Linked DNA regions of Cricetulus griseus. The protein of the gene in region 1 interacts with the protein of each later gene in a pairwise test. Links are inferred from orthologs where the notes say so. Each region holds a gene or a part of one and is shown in the gene's direction. Other genes may lie near its edges.

What was found.
Region 2: the proteins of Lsmem2 (region 1) and Lsmem1 interact in binary tests that used the Homo sapiens proteins (3 or more experiments, as listed by UniProt). The two-hybrid records come from large-scale screens. The link is inferred for Cricetulus griseus from reciprocal best matches to the Homo sapiens genes LSMEM2 and LSMEM1.

The regions. Positions count from the first base shown.
Region 1 is NC_048597.1:215,774,650-215,778,218, reverse strand, and holds the end of Lsmem2 (leucine-rich single-pass membrane protein 2), read left to right. Parts: 5' UTR 1-1,522; coding exon 1,523-1,619; intron 1,620-1,689; coding exon 1,690-1,875; intron 1,876-2,029; coding exon 2,030-2,163; 3' UTR 2,164-3,029; downstream 3,030-3,569. Other genes in the region: Ifrd2 (interferon-related developmental regulator 2), read right to left, coding at 3,101-3,181, 3,304-3,399, 3,475-3,569.
Region 2 is NC_048598.1:161,480,786-161,484,827, forward strand, and holds the start of Lsmem1 (leucine-rich single-pass membrane protein 1), read left to right. Parts: upstream 1-1,241; 5' UTR 1,242-4,042. Other genes in the region: Ifrd1 (interferon-related developmental regulator 1), read left to right, coding at 62-157, 772-861.

The DNA.
Region 1 (3,569 bases):
TCAAAAAACCCCAAACAACCTGATTTCCAGCCTCATGAGGAGACCCTGTGTCAAAGGAAAAAGGCAGAGGACACCCAAAGTCCTCCTCTGTTCTCTACACATATACACAGTGTCTAAATACACGTGGGTATGCACTACACACACACTGCTAACACATAACCACATGTAATACCACTAATGGGTAGGCTGAGGCAAGAGAATTTTGAGGTTAAGCCCATCCTAGTTTTAGGCTACACAGTGAGTTCCAGGCCAGCAAAGGTCACATAGTGAGACACTATCTCAAAACAAAACAAAATCTGAAATAAAGATAACCATAAGGAACGATAAAGAATCAGTGACTAAATGGGCAGAACCCATGAATGGGTAATTACACACATTAGTCAGGCTCCCTAGGCAACAATCAAGTTGTTTCTCGTCTCTCAGGCTAGCAAATATATGTAAAGGTCTGTGCATACAGCGTCTGGTTTAGCTCTGTAAAAAGCTTGCCTTGCAAGCATGAAGGACCCGAGCTTATTTCTCTGGGGCTCGTGATGTGCTTGAAGCTGCCCTTGACATGCTCACAAGCAAACATCAGATGCTGTCTGTTAGTCCCTATGTTTGGGAGGCGGACTGCAGGTTAAGTAGGGGTACACACACTTCTCATCCCAGGTCTGGTGAGGTGGAGACATTGAGTTCCTGGGGCTCTGTGGTTAAGTGAGCCTGTTGAGTTCCTGTGCCAGGTCACTGAGACCTCTGACTTCCGTGTGCACACAAATACATTTTTTTTTTTTACAGTGGGATGTCTAATGGTGGGGATGCTGTACTGCTGGGCTCCGAACAGGCCTTTTAGAAGACAGTTCTGATGATAGATTTAAAGTCTGTTCTCAGGCCCAGTGATTCCACTTCTGAGAATTGTCCTCAATAACTTCCAGCAAAGTGGAAAAACCTTCACATTTAATGATTGATGTCCTGGGGGTTAATTTCCAAAGGGAATTGGAAACAACCTAAATGCCCAGATAGCCTCAGAGGGAGGCCGGAAGGAGTCCTCAAAGTTATATGAAACTGTTAAGAAAAAAAGAGACTCCTGCGGTGCTGTTGAGTGAAAACAGCAGGGCTCCAGTAAGAGCGGCTGAATAATTGTGTGTAGGAAGGCAGAACCAAGCCAGGAGGAACTGCCAGAATGCAGTTGCCTTTGCCTAGCAGTAGGCACCATGTTGTAAGGTCAGGCCAGGTGGCAAACTCACTATTGCTGTGGGCTTAGGTTGATGAACTGTTTGCTAGCAATAAGCAGGCGGAGGAATGCCTGAATGTGAACATGGGAGCATGTCAAGAGCCCCTATGCACACAGACTAGGCCTTTAGAACTCTGGATCCAAACGAAGAGTCATTCCTGAAACTGTAAGGAATTTGTAACCAAATGCCACTGGTGTAGTTCCCATATATCCCAAGTTCCTTCCTGCAGCCTGGGCTTACCTACCCACAAGGTAAGGAGTGACTTGTTTGCTCAAATCAGTCCCACTGCCCCTATAGACACCGTGTTGCCAATGCAGAACCAGAGAAGCAGGGGAACACTGGCTCCTAACCATGTGCAGGAGGTGCATCTGCACCGAGTGGAATCCATCAGTGAGCTTCACAGCGGAGGTAAGGGTGCAAAGGATGTGGGGAAGGATGCTGTGGGTACCACCTTCCTGACGAACCACCCTCCCTGCAGGTTCGCTACAGCCCTATCTGGCTGAAGAGGCACAGACATGGGAAGAGCTTCTGGGTGTCCTGCCGCCATCACTGTGCACCCAAGCTGGCTGCAGCCCCATGTGTGGTCGTGGGGGGTTTCTACTGCTATTGGCACTGCTGGTATTCACCTGCCTGGCACTAGCCATCCTGGCTGTCTACCTAAGTGGTAGGGACAGGAAGGGAACCTAGGGCACCTGCAAATGCAGCAATAAAGGGTGGGGCCCGGGTCACTGGGCGGTTAACCCTTGGTGCTGGGCTGGCTGGAGATCCGAAATGGCATGCAGTCTAACAAGGTCCCACAAATGTCTTCCCATCCCCAGTGCTGCAGAGTGAATCCCTGAGGGTCTTGGCACACACACTGCGCACACAAGAGGAGACTCTGCTCAAATTGCGCCTGGCTAGCCTCAGCCAGCTAAGGAGACTCAACTCCACTGAAGCTCGGGCACCCAGCTGAGATGCCGTGTGAGGCGTGTGAGGGGATAAAGGGACCTTTGGCAGTCTCTGTTCTCCCGTCGACGGCTACACCTACACTACTTCCTTGGTGAGATTTTTGTACAAGAGCCTGATGTGACTCAACAGCTGCCTGTCTCTCTTGACCTCTTCAGGCTAGGCCTGACCAAGCCCTCTGGTGCCAAGGCCCTGCTTTGGATAGCCAAAGGTCAGAGGATGGGGCACCAGCCTCCTCGTGGCTCCTCCTATGGCCTGTCAGCACCCTCTGGCCACCCCCAGATAGGAGATTCAGAAGTCTAGAAATAGCTGTTCCTGCTCAGCCACCCACTCTGCCAGGTCTCCTAGTGGGGGGTCCAGTCTCAGCCCTCAAACAAGCTAGGCTGAGTTGGGGGTGGGGGACCACACTGGCAAAGACTGCCTTGGAGAACAAAGGTGAAATTGAGATCTAGCTGGGGCCAAGCCGAGGGTGGTAGATGAGAGGGAAGGCAAGTAAAAGACTCAGGATAAAAGTCATGGGGAATAAGTACTGTTTAATTCTCTCTTATTTTTAAAAATCAGCACACATCCATTCTAGGCAGCTTTGCCTACCCTATACCATGGTGGACAGGTGCCAGACCCCCCAAAGGAAGTGGCCCTAGGGGGCAAGATCTAAAAAAGAAAAGGGGTAGTCCTTTCTCACCTGCCCCTCAGCTCTGGGACCAGCTCGCATTTGGTTTCACCTGAGACAGGACAGAGGCCATAGCCACAGGGCTGAGTGCAGACACAAAGGGCCAGAGTCTTAAGTGTCCTGATCCCATGGCCCTCCCACATTTGTCTATTTTTGGTTTCATCATTAAAAAAAAAAAATAAAGTGACAATTGCTGGCGGGGACCAGTTCTTGCACTGTCTTCTGTTAAAAATATGGTAAGGGTATGAGTAGCCTTCTCATTGGCCAGTCAGCTTCACAAGACATCTGCCCGCTTGTCCCTCGCACGACTCCGGGCCTTGGTCCGAGCTTTGAAGGCGGCAGCATTGTACAGGTGCTGTGGAAGAGGCAAACCAGGGAGCCTGGTGAACTGGAAAGCTCAGGCTCCTCCCGGAGCCCACTCACAGCTCGAGGCCTCCAGGTTACAGGATGCAAGATAAAGGTGCCCAAGATGCAAACCTTTTCAAAACGTGAGATCTTGCAGGCCTTCAGGGTAGCGGCATCCAGCACCAGCACAGGGCCCAGGCCAAAGATGTCACGGAGAAGCTCGTTGTTCTGAAGATAAGACAATTAGCTAAGGGCAGTCTGAAGCAGTTAAGCTGGGTAGACCTCCGGGTAAGTCCCCCTCACCTGGAGGTGATAGTGCATGCCTGAGCCCAACACATCCTTGAAGGCTGTGTAGATGCGGTGGCGAGCCCAGCTGTCTATGCAGAGCACTTCCAGTC
Region 2 (4,042 bases), on another chromosome or scaffold:
TGATTCACTATTATGCAGTGAAATAGATTCCTGGATTTCACGTATATTCTATTTATTTTAGACAAATGAATTCCTTCGCAATGTATTTGAGCTTGGGCCCCCTGTGATGCTTGATGCTGCAACACTTAAGACCATGAAGATTTCTCGTTTTGAAAGGGTAGGTTTTTTGTTATTTTGTTTTTTTTTTTAAAGATTTATTTATTATGCTTGCAGTTTTTTGCTTGCATGTATGTCTGCAAGCCAGAAAAGGGCACCAGATCTTATAGATGGTTGAGAGCTACCATGTGGTTGCTGGGAATTGAACTCAGGACCTTTGGAACAGCAGTCAGTGCTCTTAACCTCTGAGCCATCTCTCCAGCCCTGTTTTTGTTTTTTAATAGAAGTAAATGCACAGCCACTCTGGTTTCTCTTCAGTTCTTTTGCTTTTGAAGAAAAATGGACCCAAAACACTTATTCTGCCTGGTTATGGGAACATTTGCATGTTTCTGTTGTACTGTAATAGCTTGGTAAGATCCAGGCTTATTTTACAGGAGCACATGTAAAGCATGAAATAGTTACTGGGAATCCTTTTTATCATTTCAAAAATTGTTACGTATAGTTTGGATTTTATTGAGGTGACATATGTAACAGAATTTTAATGTACTTTGTTATGACAAAGTACACCTGTTACCTGTCTGGTTCCTTTGTGATTTTATCTCTTCCCCCTAGTTTCTTTCTTTATAAGAGTATTATGCCTTCTTGATCTGTATATATTTTTCTTTTTCGTTTCAGCATTTATATAACTCTGCAGCTTTCAAAGCTCGAACAAAAGCTCGAAGCAAATGCCGAGATAAGAGAGCAGATGTTGGAGAATTCTTCTAGACGTCTGCATTTGATGGCTGTTTTCTAATTTCTTCCTTTATTATTATTTTTGCTACTTCTAATGTATATAAGCTTTTAGAGACAGTTTTTTATCTTGAGGTAAATTTAGATAATTTTTGATGTAGGGGTGGATTATATTTTAATTTAATGTACAGTGTTACAAATTAATGAATTCTGTTTATTAAATATCTCTGTAAAAATAATTGGAATCCACAAATAAAGTGTTTATGATGTTCTGTCTTATTCTGTGTAGTGAGCAGAAGATGGTATTTCATAATAAGAAAAATTAGCAGCCAAATGTTAACTTGTTTACACTGTGTTTGTCAGAAATACTGACATAATGATACATACATGCAGGGTATTTCATGTGACACATAGTTTTGGGGAACGCATTCCTTTAGAAAAGCTACTATTAAGTTTAAGTGGAATGCGTGCCAGTGGGCTCATCAAAGGGTGTTATTCCACGCTGCATTCAAGCCCTTGGGGATTCTCATTATAATTAGCTTATGCCAGAAAGGCTGCCAACCTTTGTCCCTAAGAGCCAAGAGCAGGACGTGCAGTGTGCTTTCCTCTTGGCAATAAAGGTCTTTTCCCACTAAAAGTGCTTCCTTCTTAATAGAAGAAACAGTTTATGACTGACAGAAGGAGTCAAGCCAGGCCACAGGGAATGAGACAGCTCTCTGTATTGGAAACAAAAGGAGATAAAGCTTTGAGTACTCAGACATGGAGATGAAGAAATGTAGCATTATACATAACCGGACTTATGTTAGCCAACTTCAAAGATTCTGCCTTATTGCCCCTACCTAGCATCTTGACTTAAGCGTTTTAAGTGCATAACCTGTGCTCCCATCTGTGCAATTGGGTACATGGACTTGTTTCCTTGCTGCTGAGGGTGGGGCTAGGAAGCATGTCACTTAAGGGGTTTCTTCCAGATTACTGTTCTGTGTCCTCAACAGACTGGAAGGTCTGATACTCCTCAGGGGAAATCTGGCTTGTGACTCAGTTCAACCCTCAGATACAGCACAGTGGGGAACACTGGAATCCAGAGCATGGTGGTGTGTGTTGTCACTTTCATTCCAAGTAGAGTCCTAGGAACCATTCTCAATAGGATTTCTTTCCCTACGTTTTCAGTTCTGTGCATGTGTATGTTTTATGTGTCCCCCATGTTTGTGTACATGTGTCATTCCTCACAGTCCTTACATCTTTTCCTGGAAACAGGGATCCTACCTCTACCTCTCCTCTACTGAGGCTGCCAGTTTGATTTGTGGACTCTGAGTATCCAAATCAAGACCTGCTTTCCAGACAAGCACTTTACTTGCAGTCCTGTATATGTGTTCCCCCCCCAGACAGGGAGGTTGTCCTGGATTTCACTATGTAGACCAGGCTGGCCTCGAACTCACAGAGATCCCCCTGCCTCTAGCCCTTCCGAGTGCTGGGATTAAAGGAGTGCACTACCATCACCCATTTTCTGTGTGTGTTTTAATGAGTTTTTACCACAGTAAAACATAGTTTACTTCAAGACTTATTATGAAGTCTTTTTCTCCCTGTAATCTGTCAGCTCCTTCTCGGGACCAGCTTAACCTTCAGTGGTGGTCTCCTTAGGACCTTAGTTTCATGATTCTCACATTTCTCTGATTGTACATTCATAGCAGTTTCTTGTTTATTGTCTTTAGGCATTGGTTGACTTAAAATAAGTGAAGAATTCTCAAATCAGCTTATTTTTGCCTTAAAGTGGTGTTTACTTGTCTCGGATTTTACACACAAACACCAGATGCTTGCCACCAGTTCTTCCTAACCAACTTGGTTCTTTATCAGATAGTCAGTGTAGGTTAGTGTCTCACTCAAGTGTACAGCTGTTTTTAAAACATCAAAATTATTTGGATTTGTTTCCAAGTCAGAGTCCACACTGATCTGTCTTCCCTGGTGACATTCATTCTTGGAGTTCTGTGCCTCCTGTAGTTTCTTATGAATGAATGCAGGAGGTCAGTTATTTTAAGGTCTCCTCTGAAAGCTAGTTTGATTTGTGAATTTCTGTGTAGAAGATCAAGTTCAGAATTAAACTTTGGACAATTCAATTTTGAAAGGTTTTTGTGTGAAATGTTGAGATTTGAAATGAGTTTTTTGTCTTTTGCACTTAAAATTGGCTACATGGTAGATAGCATGATTTAGAGGGCTGAGCAATCTAGAAGTTTTTCATTCTCTTCATTTTGTTGGAGCAACCAAAATGGCTTTGGGCCTTATTTTTCTAGTTTCTTCCTTGAGAGGCATTTCTTTAACACGTTCGGTCTTAACTCCATTTTGTCTGTTGCTCACATTAATTGACTTGCCTTGATTTAGTCCACGAGTACCTCTTAACATCCCAGCTGGCCGGTCTAATTCTGCAGTGGTAGAATCCTCCTGCAAATCCAGGCACCTCAGTCTCCTCCCAGAGTGTTCTCATTTATTGAATTGTATTTCTTTCTTTTTTCATCTTGTGGCTTTTATTCCTATGGTGTGTTTTTACTGGTGTTTACAAAGATGGAAACTTCCAGATCATTGAGTAATTTCTTACAAAGATTTCTGGGAACCTGATATGTAAAAATGAGTTGAAAGTAGCGAAGTGCTGTGTGGTTGGCCAGCCAACCACTGATTCTCCGCCAAATTGCTGTGGCTCAAGAATTAATTTTGAAGCAGTCAACAATGGCTGACTTGACTCTGTGATGGCATTTATTGGGTTTCCTGGGAATTGAATCTGAATACCACCAGGAACATTTCAAAGAAATAGCAAGGAATCTTTGAAAATGTCCTCAGAATAGACAGTTTACATGACAATATTTTCTCCTGATTCGAAATTCCTAAAGCAGTGTTTCAGATATTCAAGAAGCTGTCGTTTTCTAAGATTCTAACTAAAGACAGTCACCCTCTGGCAGTAGAGTTCCTAGGCTCTGTAGTTCCCATCTCACGGATTAATATTTGAGGATTAGAAAGTTAGACAAGGGGGAAACAGTGACCAAGAGATGGATCAGGTGCTGTTGCAAATGATAGGGGTTTGAGACAAATTGGGAAATTTGAGTTCAAATTTTGTTTTGAACCTGCAGGACAAGGTGATGGAACATCTTCATCTCTTCGAGCTTAATTTAAAATGTGACACTTGTGATAAAAGTTACCAATTATAGTCTTCTGGGTCTCAAAATGAGCATTC